Callithrix jacchus: one gene and its partner. The protein of the gene in region 2 interacts with the protein of the main gene of each other region in a pairwise test. Links are inferred from orthologs where the notes say so. Each region holds a gene or a part of one and is shown on either strand. Other genes may lie near its edges.

The links. The genes of interacting proteins can lie anywhere in the genome.
Region 1: the proteins of TK1 (region 2) and APLP1 interact in a two-hybrid assay, tested with the Homo sapiens proteins (2 studies listed by BioGRID and IntAct). The link is inferred for Callithrix jacchus from reciprocal best matches to the Homo sapiens genes TK1 and APLP1.

What each region holds. Positions count from the first base shown.
Region 1 is NC_133523.1:32,052,024-32,062,288, reverse strand, and holds part of APLP1 (amyloid beta precursor like protein 1), read right to left. Parts: intron 9,910-10,265; coding exon 9,766-9,909; intron 8,676-9,765; coding exon 8,543-8,675; intron 8,322-8,542; coding exon 8,209-8,321; intron 7,943-8,208; coding exon 7,809-7,942; intron 7,698-7,808; coding exon 7,513-7,697; intron 7,091-7,512; coding exon 6,960-7,090; intron 6,260-6,959; coding exon 6,185-6,259; intron 5,353-6,184; coding exon 5,194-5,352; intron 5,116-5,193; coding exon 4,987-5,115; intron 2,298-4,986; coding exon 2,198-2,297; intron 1,100-2,197; coding exon 992-1,099; intron 737-991; coding exon 710-736; intron 342-709; coding exon 271-341; intron 39-270; coding exon 1-38. UniProt on the Homo sapiens protein: May play a role in postsynaptic function. The C-terminal gamma-secretase processed fragment, ALID1, activates transcription activation through APBB1 (Fe65) binding. Couples to JIP signal transduction through C-terminal binding.
Region 2 is NC_133506.1:133,956,461-133,966,725, forward strand, and holds the end of TK1 (thymidine kinase, cytosolic), read right to left. Parts: intron 9,109-10,265; coding exon 9,015-9,108; intron 3,429-9,014; coding exon 3,339-3,428; intron 3,001-3,338; coding exon 2,881-3,000; intron 2,782-2,880; coding exon 2,590-2,781; 3' UTR 1,957-2,589; downstream 1-1,956. UniProt on the Homo sapiens protein: Cell-cycle-regulated enzyme of importance in nucleotide metabolism. Catalyzes the first enzymatic step in the salvage pathway converting thymidine into thymidine monophosphate.

The DNA.
Region 1 (10,265 bases), on a different chromosome or scaffold from region 2:
GAGTGGAAAGGGAAACCCCTTGGAACAGACGCATTCACCTGGGGAGCAGGAGGTGTCAAGGACCCAGAAGTCTGGCCTCTGCCTCCTCCTCCCCAGGGGCCCAAGAGGGCATCCTCTATCCTTCTCATTTTCTAGCATCTCAAAGTGCATGTCCTCAGCTCCCTCTTCCCTCAGGACAAGGAACCCAAGCCCCCAGCATCTCCTCCCTCGGACCCAGCCGCATACACCCCAATCTTCCCCTTTGGGAGCCCACAGGTCTGACTAACTTACCTTTCGCTCATACTGTTCCAGCGGGGACATATTCTCTTTCCCAGGGGATGCAGCATCTTGTTCTGTGGACCCTACCCCCCACAGTCTGATCTCATTCTTTTTTTTTTTCTTTTTTGAGACAGAGTCTCACTCTGCCACCCAGGCTGGAGTGCAGTGGCGCAAGCTCAGCTCACTGGAGCCTCAACTGCCTGGGCTCCAGTGATCCTTCTAAGTCAGCCTCCTGAGCAGCTGGGACTACAGACATGCCCCACCACACCCAGGTAACTTTTAAATTATTTGTAGATACAGTATCTCACTATGTTTATAGTGAGAGGGTGTTGGAAAGTACACTGGACTCTACCCCAGGGGGTGTGGGATTCCCAGTGGATGGATCCTGTTCCATTCTGGGTTCAGGGATTCAGTGGGATTTGGAGGCTGGGGTCAACTCTGAGACTCTCACCTTTTGGAAGGGTCATGGGGGTGTCTGCTGGCAGCCAGAGGAAGCAAGGCAGTGGAACAGTGAAGAGAGAAAGGTATCAGCAAAGAAAGGTGGAGAAATATCCTCCCAGGACCAAAAAGAAGGATTGGGAATCCTACAGGGGCCCTACAACCATAGATGTTCCTCCCCATCCTCTCCCAGTCACTGTGATGGTGAAGACACCCTCAGACTGTAGGGGATTAGAAATTAGGCTGGGGGCCTGTTCCCCAATGTCTGCGGGCATCTATGTGAAGGCTCACTCACCATCCTTGGAATCTGGAGGCTGCAGCCCACCCTTGTCCTCACTGCTGCCCCCAGGGGCAGGGGCTTCCAATTCACTGGGACCCAGGTGTTCAGAGTGGAGGAGTTCCTCTGAGGGGGACATGCAGAAAGGTGGCAGAGATTGTGAGCACTGGGGTGAGTGAAGGGCACCCTAACAATAGAGCAATTTGGAGATCATGCAGACAGCAGAGTCAGCCCCGAGTGTGGGGTAGCCAGAAGTGCGATCTGAGAAAGTGGGGAGCTGAATGGAGGCACAGCAGGCAGGAAGGATAGAGGTTGAAGTTTCAAGATTATGGCTAGCTTTTTTTTTTTTTGAGACAGAGTTTTGTTCTTGTTGCCCAGGCTGGTGTGCAATGGCGTGATCTCAGCTCACTGCAACCTCTGCCTCCCGGGTTCCAGCAATTCTCCTGCCTCAGCCTCCTGAGTAGCTGGGACTGCAGGTGCCTGCCACCATGCCTGGCTATTTTTTGTATTTTTAGTAGAGATGGGGGTTTCACCACGTTGGCCAGGCTGGTCTCGAATTCCTAACCTCAAGTGATCCACCTGCCTCGGCCTCCTAAAGTGCTGGGATTATAGGCAGGAGCACCATGCCCAGCTCAAGATTATAGCTTTTCTAAATACTAGGAGAATCAGGGTTATGTGTCAGATATCCAGGAGGAAACCACAACAGATCTGGGGGCTGTGGTAGGTCATACTTTCTGGTATGAATATAGGTTCCTTCCCTTGAATCTGGACTGGGTTTTTAACTTGCTTTAACCAATAGAATGTGGGCCCAAGCCTTAAGACCTGGCAACTTCCCCTTTGATGTCTTAGAGAGCATGAACCACCACGTAGAAATTCCAGCTGTGCTGCTGGTGAGACCATATGAAGAGGCTCCATGGAGAAGAGAGGCCCCGAGCCTCCTTGGAGAGAGAGAGAGGCCCATTTGTGCTAGACTCCCAGCCCCTAGACGATCTGCTAGCTAAATACAGCCGCATGCTTTACCACTGGCAAGACCACCAGAAGAACCACTCTACTGAGCCCAGACCACTGGCAGAATCATGAACAAAGAAAAATGGTTGTTGATTTTCTCTCCTAAGTTCTGGGCTGGTTTGTTACAGGGGAATAACTGAAACTGGGGGATCCACACTTAGGAATCAAGATCTGCCCTCAGAGATCGGGAATGGGGGCTGGATAATAGGCACTCACGGATCTGGGGCCGCAGCTCCTGAGCCAGGTGGGGGTGCTGATCAAGCAGGCCCAGGCTCTGATTCACCCTCTCCTCAATCACTTGAAGGTGGGTCTGCACCTGTGGGCGAGTGGACATGAAGGATGAGCTGGGGATGCAGGCTGGAGATGAGGAAACTGAGGCAGTATGAAGGAGGAATTCAATGGCAGCAGAGGAAAAGCATCACATGTAAGGGACAGTGTGGGGAACGCTCCCGTGTGAGACCCCTAGTAAATTGGGTCTCACCATGTGGTGAGTTTGAGCCTAGACACAAGAGTCTCCAGTTGAAGGAAGTCGAGCTAAGGAAAGCAGGATCTAAAAGAGGCTTTAGGTTAAAGATCAACTACCGCAGACAATCACTAGATGGCCATGCAGTCTTGAGGTGCACCGTGACCTAATGGTTAGCAGTCATGTGTAGCAGTATGTTCACTTTTACAAGCATATTCTTCTTTGTTCTGTCAAGACAGTAGTGACTGACTGTAATAGTTTAAAAGAAACTTCTGTGTAGCGAGATAATGAATCTGATCGTTTATTAAGTAGATAACAAGACCCACCTGCTGGATTCCATTGTGTATCTGATCTTTCTACTGTAACCACCTGATTTATGTTGTAACTTGTAGTTTCACTGTAAAACTTTCTGTTCCCCTTGATCTCACGGAACAATGTATTGAACTGACGTAAGCAAAGTTTCAAGAATGTATATACACTGACCCTGAGCTAAATAAAGTTGTTGGTGAAGCATTGACTTCTCAACCCTCCAGACCCTGGCTGTCTATCATCTTTATCTTCCATGTTTGGGGGGCACGTCTGCCAGGAACTCTTGTCCAGCAAGAGGGTCCAACCTGGATAGCGGGGTGCATGGAAGATAAAGATACATTGTTCCGTGAGATCAAGGGGAACAGAAAGTTTTACAGTGAAACTACAAGTTACAACATAAATCAGGTGGTTACAGTAGAAAGATCAGATACACAATGGAATCCAGCAGGTGGGTCTTGTTATCTACTTAATAAACGATCAGATTCATTATCTCACTACACAGAAGGTTCTTTTAAACTATTACAGTCAGTCACTACTGTCTTGACAGAACAAAGAAGAATATGCTTGTAAAAGTGAACATACTGCTACATGACTGCTAACCATTAGGTCACGGTGCACCTCAAGACTGCATGGCCATCTAGTGATTGTCTGCGGTAGTTGATCTTTAACCTAAAGCCTCTTTTAGATCCTGCTTTCCTTAGCTCGACTTCCTCCAACTGGAGACTCTGTGTCTGGGCTCAAACTCACCGCATGGTGAGACCCAATTTACTAGGGGTCTCACACGGGAGCATTCCCCACAGGACAGGAAGTATGGTACCAGGGTCAGGAAATGGGCCATAGGAGAAGGAAATTGAAGAATGAAGTCCAAGGAACAGAAAGTGGGGTTTGAGGGGATTCTAGAGACAGGGATTGAGGATTGGAGGGTCATATAGAAATTATGTGGTTCAAGGCAAGATTTGCAGTTCAAGAGCAAGAAAACATCCAGAAAAGGGGAATTTGAATCTGAGCACACAGAACAGGGGTCCCAGGGAAAACAAGTGGGGTTATGGAGAAAGGAGACCAAGGAACAGTTCCTTCAAGGAACAAGAAAGGGATTCTTGGCTGGGCACGGTAGCTCACGCCTGTAATCCCAGCACTTTGGGAGGCAGAGGCAGTGGGATCACCTGTAAGACAGGAGTTCAAGACCAGCCTGAGCAACATGGCAAAACCTTGTCTCTACTAAGTATATTGGATTGGAAATTATTGTGGTTTCTGGCCAGGCGTGGTGGCTCATGCCTGTAATCCTAGCACTTTGGGAGGCTAAGGGTGGATCACCTGAGGTCAGGTTCGAGACCAACATGGCCAACATGGTGAAACCCCGTTCTACTAAAAATACAAAACTCAGCCAGATGTGGTGGCATGCTCCTGTAATCTCAGCTACTCAGGAGGCTGAGGCAGGAGAATCACTTGAACCTGGGAGGTGGAGGTTGCAGTGAGCTGAGATCCCACCACTGAACTCCAGCCTGGGCAACACAGCAAGACTTTGTCTCAAAACAAAAAAAAAATTAGCTGGGTGTGGTAGTGGGCTCTTGTAATCTCAGCTACTGGAGAGGCTGAGGCAGGAGAATTGCTTGAACCCGAGAGGCAGAGGCTGAGGTGAGCAGAGATTGAGCCATTGCATTCCAGCCTGGGCAACAGAGTGAGACTGTCTCAAAAAAAAAAAAAAAGTTATTGCCGTTTTTGCTATTACTTTCAATAGCAAAAACTGCAATAACTTTTGCACCAACCCAATACAAAAGTTAGCTGGGTGTGGTGGTGAGCACCTGCAATCCCAGCTACTCGGGAGGCTGAAGCAGGAGAATTGCTTGAACCTAAGAGGCGAAGGTTGCAGTGAACAGAGATCGCGAACTACACTCCAGCCCGGGCAACAGAGTGAGACCCTGCCTCAAACAATAACAACAAAAAAAAGGATTCTGGGAAAGGCAGTGAAAATCCAAGGAACAGAATGTAGGATCAAGGGGAAAGTAGGAATCCAGCCGACAAGAAATAGGGGTCAAAGGCACAGCATGTCAGGGGCCATGTTTCGGGGTCAGGAAGCAGAGCTGAGGGACTGGGAAGAGGCAGAGAAGTGACATTCAGGGGATAGGAAGGGGTCCAAGAGACAGAAAGAGGGTCTGAGGGACAAAAGCAGAGAGCCTGAGGTGCTGGGGTCTGAGGATAGCTGCGTGTGCGGGAGCTGGAAGGATGTGAGCACCTGGAAGCGCATCTGCTGCGCCTTCTCTGGATCCACGGCCGCCACGTGCTGGTAGTGGCGCAGCGTGTGCCTCTGCTCCTTCTGTTCCGCACGCAGGTAGCGCCGCAGGGCCATCAGGACGCGCTCCGCCTGAGGAAGGGACACAGGCTGCCCAGGTCTGCCCTCACCCTTCTCACCCTCTGCTCTCTGCCCCCACGGTCCCCACACCTGAGGCGGATCTCCCTGCAGGGCTGCCAGGAAGCCCTCCAAGGCGGCCCGCCGCTGGTCGTTGATAAGGGCGATGACACGGGTGGCATGAGTCTCCACCAGGCGCTGTCGCTCACCAGACACCTGCTCCTCCAGGGTCTGCAGAATGGACTGGAAGTGCTGGGGAGCAGGTAGGGCACAGGGTAAGGAGAGGAGAAGATGGATCAAAGGCTGGTCAAAGACAGCCTGGAAAGGCAGGGTTACATGGGGTTGGGGGTCGTTCCAGGGGTCCAGGCCTGGGCAGAACCAAAGGGTACGGATTGGAAGAGGTAGGCTCCAGGGCCAGGTAGAGTGGAGGTGGGACTAGGCCCAGTGGGAGCCAATCTGAGGGTGTAAACTGTAAGATGGAGTGGGAACAATCTGGGAGCAGAACTGGCCAATGTTAAGGTGAAAGGGACAAAGCCTTGCAGGGCTCCGGGCTGGTCAGGGTCAATTGGAGGAGGAGAGCAGTGTCAGGTCAGATGGTGGCTTAAGAGGGCAGAGCCCCATGTAGACAGGCTGTACCTAAATGACACAATGGGGTGGAACCAAAAGCTAATGGGGTTAACATGAGTGGGGTCTCTATGGGGTAGGTCAGGTTGAGAGAGGTGAGACAAGTAGGCAGAGCCAGAAGGGGTGGGGCCTGTTAGAGACATGAATACATCAAAGAGAGACCAAGAAGGCTCTGGCTGTATCTGCAGGGGCCCCAGCTTGGGACAGGACTCCAGAGCCCGCCCCAAGAGGCAAGTCAAGTGCAGATGGGCCAAACATGGCCAATTGGAGGAGGAGAGCAGTGTCAGGTCAGATGGTGGCTTAAGAGGGGCAGAGCCACATGTAGGCATGGGGCCAGGAAGGGCAGAGATAAGTGGGAAGGGGTGGAACTGGATGGGCAGGGCATGGCCAGAACCACGTGAAGCTGAGCGTGCTCCAGGTGGGGGACAGTCATGAGTAGGAGCCCCTGGGGTTGTCCTACCTCATTCAGGGCCTGTCTGTCAGCTTTAGGTAGGTTCTTGGACTGGTTGTCGGCCATGGCCCATTCACGCATCACCTGCGTGGGGAGTGGGGCTTCAGGATCCCAGAATCCACACTGATCCACCTGGTGAGTTCCCCAACCCCTCTTGAAGAGTTTTAGAGGCCCCAGATCCCTTAAGTCTCACTGTTCTTGGGTTCCCAAGAGGGAAGATCTAGGAGTTTAAAGTGAAAGAGAGGCTGGGCATGGTGGCTCATGCCTGTAATCCCAGCACTTTGGGAGACCCATCCAAGACAGATGGATCTCCTGAAGTCAGGAGTTTAAAACCAGCCTGGCCAACATGGCGAAACCCCGTCTCTACTAAAAATACAAAAACTAGCTGGGCATGGTGGTGGGCGCCTGTAGTCCCAGCTACTTGGGAGGCTGAGGCAGGAGAATCACTTGAACCCAGGAGGCAAAGGTTGCAGTGAGCCGAGATCATGCCATTGCACTCCAGCTTGGGCAACAAGAGTGAAACTCCAACTCAAAAAACAAAAACAAAACAAAAAATAAAGTGAAAGAGTGCCATAGACCAGAGTCTCCATATAATCTGATGGCATCTCAGTGGGATTCTAGATGGGCCATGGGTTTCTGGCTATGTTAGGGGGTGATGTTGAGGGCTCACAGTCGAAGGGGCTTAGGGAGCCTTTGCAAGTGCTATCAATGTGTTCTGGAATAGTTTCCTGATATTTAGGGAGCTCTGTACTGTAGCGGGTCCTGGGTCCCCCGGTATCATCACCTCATTAATCTGGCGCATCCTACGCTCCTCCAGGTCCATCTTGGCCCTCAGGAACCCCTCGTGCTCGCTGATTTCCCCAGGCATGCCGAAGTAAATATCCACACCGTCTGTGGGCCTCGGGGTGGGAGTGACTACAAGACCAGGGATCAGGAGGTCAGTCTGCTGCCCACCTCCAGGTCACCTTTTCTACCTAGAACCACGTTTCCTGGAGTGCACCGAAGACCATCATGTGTCCAGTTTGGCCACTGCTGCTGCCTGGCGTTTGGGAGATGTAGTTCTGGACTGGGCCTGTTCTTGCAAAGCTTAGGAATCTTTTACACCATCTTGTAAGCTTTCCTGAAATGATCCTCAGGACCTACCCAATGGCCCCTCTACTCCCAAGTACGCCCAGGTTAGCCCTTCTTCCTCTGTTTTATCCAAAGCTACTCCCATCTTTTCCCCTCAGTTGGGTTTTTCCCCCATAGGTCCCTCCCAAAGACACGCCCCAGCAAGACTCTGCCAGATCTTTCTCCCTCCATGGCAGAAAAGCCTGGGGATTCAGAGACTGTCTCACCTTTGCTGACCACTGCAAGGGTATGGGAGCTTGGGGGTGGCACCCTTTCCTCCTCCTCTTCCTCTTCAGCCTGCGGAGGCTCCACGAAGTAATCATCTACTGGCTGTGGGAAGGATTCCTCCTCTTCCTCATCCTCAGCCCCCTCTGCTTTGCCCCCCGGGGGCCAGGACCGGGTAGAGGGGTCACTGAGGGAGCAGGAGAGGACCCAGACAGTAAGAACTCAGGCCCAGGCTCCCAGACTGCCATCCCCTTCCTCAGGAACCTTGGGAAGGGCATGGAGGGTCCCTTCCACTCACCCAACTGCTGTCCCAGATGGGTCAGGGGTCCCTGGAGGGGGACAGCACACATATTCCACACCACGGAACCGATCCGAGCCACAGGGCAAAAGCATACCTGAGCCATGCAGGATGAGGCCCTGGGAGCTGCAGGCCTGTGGGAAGAGTGGGCCCAGATGCCAGGATTGTGGGGTATGGGGTGTGTAGATGGGGAGCCAGGCTGCCTGGATCTAGGGGGTCGATGAGGCTGGGAGCCTGGATTCCTGGTTCTGGAGGAAGGGGTTGAGGGGATGAAATTCCTAGATCCCAGTGGGAAGAGGATGCTGGTGGCCCAGACTCCTTGGTTCTGGTGGAGGAGGGTGTTAGGGGCCCGGGCTTCTGGGTTCTAGCGGGGAGGGGATGGGTGGGCCAAGGTCCTGACCTCCTGTGCCTCCTGATGCCTCCGTGTTGAACTCTCACATTCGTCCATGCGCTCCTGGTGCAAGAACCGGCAGCCTTCGGGCACCAGCAGAGCCTCGCTCACAAATTCACCAGCTGGAAGCATGACACACCAGGGTGAGACCCTCCCACAGCCACCAACCCCACCCTCCTCAGAATCCAGAAATTTTATACTCAGAGGCTTCTCTGCCCCACTTAGGACACAAGCACCCAGCCCCTTAATGTGGGCCTGAGAGAGGGGCTCAGAACCTAGCCTCTCGGAAACTCCCATCTCAGTGTACCCCGGCCCACCCCAACCCCTAGCCACATGGACTCACGCAGGCAGCGGAAGGGTACAACCTGGTGGTGGGGGTGGGCGCAGTGGCCGCTCCGGGCACCCCCGCACCAGTGCTCCATGGGAATGGCCTGAGTAGCCTGCTCCACACGTGCAATCTGCAGCTCCGGGTACATCTGGGGGGATCAGGTGGGAACAATCAGCCCCCTGCCCCGCCCCTGCCAGGCACCCCTCTCCACTGGCCAGGTCCTTTTTTTTTTTTTTTGAGAGGGAGTTTTTGCTTTTGTCACCCAGGTTGGAGTGCAATGGTGTGATCTCGGCTCACTGCAACTTCCACCTCCCAGGTTCAAGCGATTCTCCTGCCTCAGCCTCCGGCGTAGCTGGGATTACAGGCAAGCACCACCATGCCCGGCAAATTTTTGCATTTTTAGTAGAGATGAGTTTTCTCCATGTTGGCCAGGCTGTTCTCAAACTCCTGACCTCAGGTGATCCGCCCGCCTCAGCCTTCCAAAGCGCTGCGATTACAGGAGTGAGCCACCGCGCCTGGCCAGGTCCCTTTTCAAGGCTATAATATTCATGAGAACTTCGCCTCCCTAGGCCCTGCCTCTCCATAGCACCAGCCTTAGATAGCCAAGCCCCTCGTGCCCATTGGCCACGCCCACTAGCAGTTTTCCCTTGAAAGTCCCGTCATCTTTAAGCCCCATCCCTTTTCCTGTGCTGTTTCTTTCCGAAGGTCGATCTAAGCCCACCTCTCTGGTCACTCCTCCCCGCAGTCAGGTTCGTCTCCCCCAAAGGTCTCACCCTCTTTTGGGCCCCTCTTTTTATCTGTTCCGCCTCTCCAAAACTCTTCCCTTTACAAAGTCGAGGCTTTTCATGGCCACGCCTCCCAGCTCTCCGCGCTCTCATTGGGCTCCACCTCTTTTCTTTCCCCTTCTTGTTGATCTTTAAGGACTCTTTCTCTTAGCTCCGCCACTCCTTTCGCCACTCCGCCCTACACCTCTACTCTTTACGAAGACCACCAGATTGCTAAACCCCACTTCTCTAGCCATCTCGCGGTTCTCCTCCTTTCCTGACTTAGTATCTCAAAACAGGTTCCCTGCCCTGGCGTAGCTGAGCCTCTATTGGCCACGCCCCCCAGCCTCCACGCCTTAGATCGTGCAGCACCTTGGACCACGCCTTTTGCAAGTCTAGCTTTCTATAGGCGGCCCCGCCCCGTTTGGGGCCCGCTTTCCGATAGCCCTGCTCCTCCCGCTCAGCCCCGCCCACCTGTCTGCAGTACTCCAGCACGCGCTGCGGGTCCCGGAGACAGCGTCGAGAACGCTGTGGGTCTGGTTCCCAGCGGCCGGTGCGCAGGTCCCGGTGAAGGGTTGGGCGTCCGCATAGTCCGGCCACCTGGGCCGACCCCGGGGCCTGGATGGAAGTGGAGGGGACAGTGAGGGCCCGGGGGACGTTGGTAAGAGGGTCCTCTGGTTCTTTGCTCCCTAGGACCGAGACCTCCAGCACCAGCCACCTCCCCCAAGCACCGCACACCCGCCTCCATGGAGGCACCGTTCCCTGGGAAACAGCTCCCGTAGGGAGGGGGCGCCCCAGCTCTCCCGTTGCTATGGCTACCCGGGTCCTCCGGGATTCTCTCGGCCTTGTTGCCGCGGAGACAGACTCCGCCCCCACCCCAGCGCAGTCGCGCTGGAGCCCGAAGGGGTTAAACCTGAATCGCGGAGGAGGAGGCCAGAACCCAGGCGTTCTGGCCCCTCCTCCCTCCATCCCCT
Region 2 (10,265 bases):
GTCACTCACTTTTAGGAAAGGGTTTTTAGCTAGTGTTTCTCCTTGCTTTTAATGACCCCAGCCCTGCCTGGAGTGGCTAGAAGCCAGCAGGCACCCACATGCTACTTACCAGTGCCTCAGCTTTCCCCCAGCCCAGGTCAGGCTGTGGGAGCCACTGTTATCTGTGTTCTCTGCCAAAGACTCTTGGGGGGCCTTATACCTACCCTGTGCATCGGGGTTGGACCAGGCTCCTGTGTCCTCACTCAGGTTTGCTCCCACTAGGCCTACTGCTGTATGATCTGGGGGCCACCACCCTGGGCCAGTGGCCTCTGGCCCCCATGGTGTGGGGGCAGGGCTGGTGCCCACAGCACTTCCTCCTTGCTCCCACCCCGGCAGCAGGGAAGGGCTTTGCCTGACAACACCCAGCTTTATGTAAATATTCTGCAGTTGTTACTTAGGAAGCATGGGGAGGGCAGGGGTGTCCCATGCCCCATGGCTCCCACTCTGTGCCGAATGTATTATAAAGCCTTGGGGGTGACGCCCGGCCCTGGGATGCTGTTTGGAGAAGGAATAAATGTTTTCTCACTCAGTCTCCATTGCCATTGGTTGAGCCAGAGCCTAGGGGTCGGAGGAAGGGACTCCACTCTGGGTACACCCTTAAGGGCTGGCTTTCTGAAACTTGTGTTTTACACAAGGCAGTGGCAGTACACCCCCTCCAGCTTGCCTGGCTGGCCCCCTTTCCATCTGGGGTCGCATTCCGCACAAGCCTTTCATCCAGATCTTAAAATAGCAACTGTGCTCATCTTGTTTACAAGATTTTTCTGGCCTTCGGTGCCAGGGTCCTGCTGTTCCCTTCCTAGTGTTGGGGTGGGGGTACCTGGGAGTTGCCCACTGAATGCCCCTTCCCTCTCAGCCCTTTCTTAGCACTGAAAGAGGAGTACCATGGGTAAGCCACATTTCTGCCTTCCTCCAGGGCTCAGCACCTCTGGACCCTTCCTGGGACACAGCAGGGAGTGGGCTTGGCCTTCCAGCCGCCCCTTGGAGATAAGACCCATCTCTGGAAGAGGTCAGGGCCCTAAAGCAACTCCTGGCTTCCTCTTTTGAGCAATGACAGAGTTGTCAATGGCAAGTCCCGAATGTTTAAAAATCCCCAATACAAAGTAACAGCACTGCTCCCAACCTCACCCGATGGCTTTGGCTTGGGACACATCACTAGCAAAGGGGAGGAGGAGGCTGGGGAGGCCCTGGCAGCGGTGACCCTGCCTGCCTAGGGCACACCTCACCCCAGCAATGCCTGAGTCCAAGTGAGCTGCCAACAGCCCATCTCTGAGGCACAGCTGAGAGGTGTCTTGATTCCTGAACTACCCAGCGTGTGTTTCACAAACAAAAACTGACCTGGAAGTCCCAGCGGGCAGGTATGCGCCCCCATCCTTCCTTCCAGCTGGGCCCTGGGCTCCCCTGTGCACCCATTTTTGTCCTGACACTGGCCCAGACAGGAAGGCAGATGATGTTCCCCTTAGGACACGCCCCACGATCATTTCTCAGTTAACCGGCTGTGGTTATGAGATCAGTATTACTACAGAAAGATCTGGGGGCCAGGCCCGGTGCCTCACGCCTGTAATACCAGCACTTTGGGAAGCTGAGACAGGCAGATCACTTGAGATCAGAAGTTCAAGACCAGCTTGGTCAACATGGTGAAACCCCGTCTCTACTGAAAATACAGAAATTCACCAGGTGTGGTGGCACACACGTGTAATCCTGCCTACTAGGGAGGCTGAGTGGGGAGAATCACTTGAACTGGGAAAGCAGAGGCTGCAGTGAGCCGAGACTGCACCACTGTACTCCAGCCTGGGTGACAGAGAACCTATCTCAAAACAAAACAAAGACCTGGAAGAAAATCCCCACCCACATCAGTTGGCACTGTCCATGAGACCCGGGGAAACCCAGCTTAAAGAGAAATGAGCGTCTACCAACCAGTGAATTTTAAGTTAGTTAATTTCATACACTACAGCAGAGACGTTGACCCTGCCCTCTTCCCACGAAGAGACAAGCACCTACAATCCAAGTCCCAGCAAGGCTGGTGCCACCCATGTGAAAGATGCTGTCGTTCCTGTGGAAACCATCACCAGAGGTAGGAGGGGCTTTGAGCCCAAAAGGAAGCAAGAGGGCATGAGTCCAGGCCATCCTCAGGGAGGGCAGGGGCCTATCCCAGGCAGAGGGGCCTAAGCCTCTATGGCCCAAGGCTTAAAGATGCTGGTGCAGGCTTCCCAGGGAGAACAGAAACTCAGCAGTGAAAGCCAGAGGGGAAGAAGCAGGCTGATGTCAACAGTGTGTGGCTGTCCCTCACCCCAAGCAGGGGGAGTATGCCAGATCCTAGGTCACCAGGCAGGGCCAGGTCCAGCCTGGGCGACCGTCCCAGCAGCCAAGAGGGAAGCTAAGCAGGCCGGTGGGCAGGAGAGGAGAGAGCACGTGGCAGGTGGGGCAGCTGCACAAAGGAGACTTCCCAAAGGCCAAGATGTGGTCACCCTCCTGGAGCAGGCAGGTAGCGTGGAGAGCAGTGTCCGCTAGGCGGCAGCGGCTGGAAGAGAGTGAGCAGCCCTTTCAGGCCCCTCAGTTGGTGGAGCTACATTGCAGAATCTGCTGCGGGGCAAAGAGCTTCCTGGCAGCCGCAGCCTCCCCTGGCTTTCCTGGCACGGGGCAGTTCTCTTTGTTGTCCAGCCCGGCAGGCTGGCCTGAGGCCTTCTTGAAGTAGCAGAGGCGACACACAGAGTGATACTTGTCTGCTCCTCCAATCACTTCGACCTAGCCGCAGGGACAGGGGATGGGTGAAGGGCCGGGACAGGAAGGAGACAGAGCCACGCCCCCACCCCACCAGCCCGCAGGGAAGACAGGTGGAGGTACCTCCTTTTCGGTGCCAAGCCTCTTGGTGTAGGCGGCTTCCCGGAAGCACTCCATGCATACTGCGGTCAGCTTCACCACGCTCTCGGCCAGCGGCACCAGGTTCAGGATGGTCCCAAATGCCTGCACTCCCATGGAAAGACAGTGGGTGCTCGGCTACCTTCCCAGGCGGGGTTTTCTTTTAAACCCTTTGATTCATAAGCACTGAAGCCAGGAAAGTTTGCTCTGACCTCAGTCCTCCCCCAACCCCCAGAGCACCATGCCTGGCTTTGTCTCCTTGCCAATTCAAACCACCTGCCGCAACAGATGGCACCTGGTCTGCATAGACCAGGGAGTCCCTAGGCTCAGGCAAGGACTGGTCTGAGCAGCTCAACTGTGCCCCTACAGTGGCTGGGCCCTGGCCACCCAGAAGCCCCCTCCCCTCCTGGAATCACGCTCCAGACCTGGATCAGACACCTTACCTTCCTCTGGAAGGTCCCGTCCAGTGCAGCCACAATTACTGTCTTCCCGGCGTTGGCCATGGCCTCACAGAACTCCACGATGTCAGGGAACTGGAAAGGGAAGGTGGAGAAAGCGTGAGAGTTTCCACCCTAGCAGCAGCTCCCTGAAGTCCCAGCAGAGACGCTGCCAGATCAGACAACTCCCGCCATTCAGCCTGGAGCAACTCTAACTCTTCCATGAGGTTCCTCAGGCTGGGGACTGTCCATGGGTGCCCTCCCAGCAGATGACAGGCACATCCACAACTGCCCAGCCTCTTCCCTCTGCAGCCAGCTTCTGCTCCGAGTCCAGGTACCCAGGACTCAGCATCAGACTTCCACACCTGCTGTGCTGTTTAACACTGCAGCGGCCAAAGGCTGGGGCCAGACATCTGCTGCCTGGGGCTCGGACACCGCTATTCCGAGCGGACACCATTATCTGTGTGACCTTGGCAGTGAGTTAACTTCTCTGAACCTGTTTCCTCTTCACTGAGCGATAGCAAGAAAGGTCCTATTGTGTAAGGACAGAAGGCACTAAGTTATACACATGCACTTCAGTGAGTAGCTGGGCATTTTGTGCTCTTGCCCCCTCGCCTTTTTAGACAGGTAATGTGCCTTGAGAAGGTGTGGGGGTCCTCCTGGCCATTTACAGAGCAGGATGACACAGCACAGCCTTCTAAATACAGGGCCGGCACAGAGCACATTTACTGCCTACATCAAATTTCACTTTGGCCCAGGGAGAAGCTGAAACTCTAGCAAGTGCTTTGGTGATTCTCATCAATCAGTCATATTGCTTTTAGCTGGTTGAGTTCACATGTCCAGACTGGCCTTTGGGTTGGCTGAAGTGGGGATGTTCCTGTCCTTGGGCACAGGTCTCTCTCCAGGAGCCCCTCAGGCTTTCCTCAGCCCAGGTACTGAGGTTTGAGGTTATTAAGACATTAGGGCTTAGCAAGGCGAGGACTAGGGGATAACTGGAAAAATTCCAGTGGGATCCAGGTGAAGCCTGATGTAACCGACTGCGCTCAGCAGACTGCAGGGGCCTCTAGAAAGAAAACCCAGAGACTCCAGCACGCTGGGCCCTGCCCCACCATGCACGTGTTCTCTCTTTTTCTCTGAGGATTCATCACATGTCACAAAAAGGCAGCTCCCAGTCTTGCTCCCCATTGCCCAGGCTGGAGGGCAGTGGCTCAACCATGACTCACAGCCTGGACCTACAGGCTCAGCCGATGCTCCCACCTCAGCCTCCCAACTAGCTGGGACTACAGGTATGTGCCACTACTCCTGGCTAATTTTTGTATTTTTGGTAGAGGCAGGGTTTCACCATATTGCCCAGGCTGGTCTCAAACTCCTAGTCTCAAGCAATTTGCGTGCCTCGGCCTCCCAGAGTGCTGGCATAACAGGCATGAGCCACTGTGCCAGACTCTTAAGTTTTTCCAGATTAAACTTACGAAGTCTCTAATCCAAAAGGCTCCAAAACCTGAAACTTTTTGAGTGCATACCACAAGTGGAAAATTTCACACCTGACCTTATGGGACAGCTCACAGTCAAAACCCTGGCTCATGCCCAAATTACCAGATAGCATATAAAATCACTCCCAGGCTATGTGGATAAGGCATCTATAAACATATCGGATCTTGTATTTACAGTTGGGACTCATTCCCAAGGTCTCATTATATTATATATATGCAAATATTCCAAAATCTGAAAAAATCAGAAATCCAAACACTTCTGGTCCCAGGCATTTACGATAAGGAACATTCAACCTGTATTACTTGTGTTAGTAGAACAGAAAACACAAAAAACCGTTTTTTGGTTTTTTTTGTTTGTTTGTTTTTGAGACAGAGTCACTCTGTCACCCAGGCTGGAGTGCAGTGGCATGATCTTGGCTCACCACAACCTCTGCCTCCCGGGTTCAAGTGATGATTTTGCCTCAGCCTCCAAAGTAGCTGGAATAATAGGTGTGTGCCACCACATCCGGCTAATTTTTGTATTTTCAGTAGAGACGGGATTTTACTATGTTGGCCTGGCCGGTCTCAAACTCCTGACCTCAAGTGATCCGCCCGCCTTGGCCTTCGAAAACGCTAGGATTATAGGTGTGAGCCACTGTGCCCAGCCAGAAAAAAAAGTTTAAAAAAATCAGAGCTTCCACTATTGCCAAGCAACCCTGCAGGCCCGCCAGACACTGTACAGCTGTTGATGAACGCATCGGGGAGGTGCTGGGGCCAGGGTGCTCACCCACCACCAGCATCTGAAGCACAGCACGCCCAGCTAGTGGCTTTGGGGTCTCCACATGACTCTCTCTTGCATGCCAACAATTTCTACAAAGCAGTGTGAGCGCCACTGTGCCTCACCCGGCATACAAAGAAGCACAGAAGCTTCTGACCTAGGGCCTTCCTCAGGATGGCATGGTGGCTACTCTATGAAAGGCTTTCCCTGCTGACCCAGAAAACAGGAACAAGGCAGGTCAGGCTGGGCTTCTTCCACTGTCCACGTAGACAATGAAGGAGGGAAGGACAGTCCTTCTGTGGGTCCCCATACTAGGAACCCCTCTCCTCCATCTAGAAATGCTTGCAGTGGGAAGATGCTAAACTTCTAGAAAGGAACAAGGGCACACAGAATGGCACAAGGCTGATGTCTGGATATGGGGTGTAATAAGCACTCCCTGAATGAACTAAAGTTTTACTTGTGGGCCAGGGAGGAAGTAGACTGAGAAATCTCTCCTTCAGGCTGGAACGGGACAGGACTTAATATGCTGGCTCCTGGATGTTACGGAAGGAGGAAGGAGAAGGGAAAGGTTTCTGCCTGGGGGGGGTCTGGGTCAGCATCTGTCAACAAGGTTTATGCAGAGCCAGAGCAGAGCTCTTGAGCAACTCACAGTGGCAGGTCTGAAGGCAGGGAGAGCCTCGCCAAAGCTAAAGCTTCCTTGCTCTTCCTTGTTCTGAGAGGGCCATGCCCCCAAAGCTGATGCAGAATCCCTGGATGCATTCCAAGGCCACAGTTTGGGAGCAAAAGAAAAAAATTGCAGCCCTGTTCCCAGCCTGGGCCCACCTTCTCGCCTGGAGTCTCTCAACCACACGGCGGCAACAACATCTCTGTGGATGCAGAGGTATGGGGGTGCCCAGAAGCGCACCTCTGAAGGTCAGAAATGGAATGGGCACACCCAAGCGGGGAGCAGTTGTCAGCTACTGGGTGATCTGGAACCCACAGCGGACACCGACAGCTTGGAGTCCAACTCCACAGGGTAAGGGACCAGTCAGCCTCCCCATGAGAATGAAATTTGGGGCTGTGACATTTAGAGAATGCTGGGCAAGAGCAGAACCAGGAACACAGGACTGCCCAGCTGGGGGGACAGTCCCTGGGATGTTCGGACAGGGTTTTCCAGCCGGAGCAGCCTGGCTCTATGCTGGGAGGCAGGATGGGTAGAGATCTTGAACCACCGCTCAGCAAACAAACCCATTTATTCTTCCTCCAGGTATAGAACTAGACTAAGTATACAGTCAAGGGTATAAAAATAGACTAAGTGTGGCCAGGCGCGGTGGCTCCCGCCTATAATCCTAGCACTTTGGGAGGCCAAGGCAAGCGTATCACCTGAGGTCAGGAATTCAAGACCAGGCTGCCCAAACAGCAAAACCCCATCTCTACTAAAAATACAAAAAAATAGCTGCGCGTAGTGGCAGGAGCCTGTAATCCCAGCTACTTGGGAGGCTGAGGTGGGAGAATCACTTGAACCTGGGAGGCAGAGGTTGTAGTGAGCTGAGATCGTGCCACTGCACTCCAGCCTGGGCCACAAAGCAAGACTGTTTCAAAAAAAAAAAAAAAACTAGACTAGGTGTACTAGACTAAACCTAAAGGTGACCCTGTGCCCTATGCCCAGATTCTAATCTTTGAAAGATCAGCAGAGGTGACATTTGCAACTTCTAGCCTGGCCCATGAAAACATCACACCCAGGGGCTCCGCCATGTCTCTCCTCTTCCGCTTCTGTATGCAGCCAGCAAGGGCGAACTAAGCCACCTCTGGGCAGCCTCCCCATCAGCTGGAACCATGTAGGGGTCTGTAAGCAAGAAACAAATTCCTATTGTGTTTATATTAAACCATCACACTGTACACTTAGAGGCAGCCCTAAAAGTACCTAAGGGGTTAAGTCTGCTAAGTCCCTTGGGAAGTGAGTTTCAGTTTGATTCATTTGTGATAAACTAACAACAATTTTAAAAAACTCCAAAGTAGAGGAAGGAAAACTAAGATAACAGAAACTAACCCAGAAACAACCGGAGAATGTGTTCTGAGGAAACAGAAAAATCTGGAAAAGTCTAAGGAAAGATTTTTGGAAACACAATGGAAGGAACAGCATAAACTTAAACATAACCCCACGGTAACTTGTCAAACAAAATGGAGGATTCTGAATTAGAGCAGCAGGTATAAAGTCATTGAAACAAAACACACTTTGGAAGATGGAACCCAGAATACCTCAGAGAGGGATAAGGAGAGAAACACCTGAAGTGATAACGGCTTCATTTCTTCCCCAGAAGTGACAAGGCATACCAGTTATAAAGCTGGATAAATGAAAACAAAGCTTCCCCTGGACACACTGTGCTGAGTGAGAACAGACAGAATGCCTGGCCAGAGGTAACCAAACATTAGACAGTTGGTGGCCTTCCCCTAAGCAAAAACACAACAACCAGCACTACTACTTTTCAGAGCAACAAGATCAAGGATGTAATCCCACCAATTTGGGAGGCCAAGGCAGGTGGATCACCTGAGGTCGGAAATAACAGACCAGCCTGGCCAACATGTAAAACCCCATCTACTAAAAATAAAAAAATTGGGCTGCGCACAGTGGCTCATGCCTATAATCCCCGCACTTTGGGAGGCCAAGGCGGGCAGATCACGAGGTCAAGAGATCAAGACCATCCTAGCCAACATGGTGAAACCCCTTCTCATAAATAAATAAATAAATAAAACAAAAATTAGCCAGGTGTGCTGGTGCATGCCTGTGATCCCAGCCACTCAGGAGGCTGAGGCAGGAGAATTGCTTGAACTCAAAAAAAAAAAAAAGAATTGCTTGAACTCAGGAGGTAGAGGTTGCTGTGAGTCGAGATCATGTATCTACACTCCAGCATGGGTGACAGAGCAAGACTCCATCACACACACACACACACACACACACACACACAGGCTGGGCACACTAGCTCACACCTGTAATCCCAGCACTTTGGGAGGCTGAGGTGGGCAGATCACCTGAGGTTGGGAGTTCAAGACCAGCCTGGCCAACATAGAGAAACCCTGTCTTTACTAAAAATACAAGATTAGCCAGATGTGGTAGTGCATGCCTGTAATCCCAGCTACATGGGAGGCTGAGGCAGGAGAATCGCTTGATCGGGGAGCTGAAGGTTGTGGTGAAATGAGATTGCGCCATTGTACTCCAGCCTGGGCAACGAGAGCAAAATTCCATCTCAAAAAAAAAAAAAAAAAAGGCAAAATGAAACCTACATGACTATGACAGGGAAACTAGAAAGGGGCCTTCAGAGAGTATTCCAACACTAGTTATAGCTATTTAACCTTGTTATTTTACTAACAGATCAGACAATCTCCAAACCAGTGGGGAAAAATGGAAGACAGAGCAGGAGCTAGCAGGAAGAGTGACACCAGGACAAGCCAACTTACAAACTGCCCCTCATCAATGCCTATGACAGCCACTCCCAGGGCCTCCTGGGCCACGTCTCGGAGCAGGCAGGCAGGCAGTGCCTCCATGGTGTTCCTGGGAAGAGAAAGCCAGAGCATGAGCGAAGCCAGGCAGGCCAGAGCCAGGATGCAGGGGCCAGGGAACGGCTCCTGTCACAACCACCTGCAGCATGCAAAGCAGGATCAGTGTTCACCCAGCAGGGATTTTCCCACAACCTATGGGAAAGGCCCTTGTCCAGAAAACCAGTTATTTAATTAACTAATTAATTTTTTTGAGACAGAGTCTTGCTTTGTTGCTCAGGCTGGAGTGCAGTGGTACCATCTCAGCTTGCTGCAATCTCCACCTCCCAGTTCTCAAGGAGTTCAAGCAATTCTCCCGCCGCAGCCTCAGGAGTAGCTGGGACTACAGGCACATGCCACCATGCCCAGCTAATTTTTATATTTTTCTTAGTGAAGGGGTTTCACCATGTCGCCCAGGCTGGTCTCAAACTCCTAACTTTATTTGATCCGCCCACCTCGGCCTCCCAAAGAAGAAAACCAGTTATTTATAGAAGCCAGTTCACTTGATGCTTTGGATTAGAAATTAGTAGTGTCCAATACAAAGCTCAATGAGACTAGAAACTCTTCCACTGTTGAGGAGCTGGGGGCAGATAAGGCCAACTTCATCAGGTACCAAGCCCATAATACCATTAGGGGCCAGCCAAATGTTTCCTTTTAAAATTCAGAATGAATAACTAGAACTGGGCCTGGGTTATACTTGTCCTTATATCAACTGTGTTACAAAATATAAATTTTTAACATCTGTATTCTGGGCAGGCACAGCAGCTCATGCCTGTAATCTTAGCACTTTGGGGAGGCCAAGATGGGAGGATCACCTTAAATCAGGAATTCAAGACCAGGCTGGGTAACACAGCAAGACACTGACAAAAATCTAAAAATTAGCTGGGCACGGTGGTATGCACCTGTAGTCCCACCTACTCAGGGCACTGAGGTGGGAGGATCACTTGAGGTGAAGGGTTTAGGGTTACATAACAGTGAGCTAGGATTGAGCCATTGCACTCCAGCCTGGGTGACATATGGAGACCCTGTCTCAAAAACAAACAAACGGGCCGGGTGCTATGGCTCACGCCTGTAATCCCAGCACTGTAGGACCCTCAGCAGCAGCGTCCCTGACCTTTACACATTAAAGTCCAGAAGCATCCCCTCCCCTCTCCAGTTGCAACAACTAGAAAT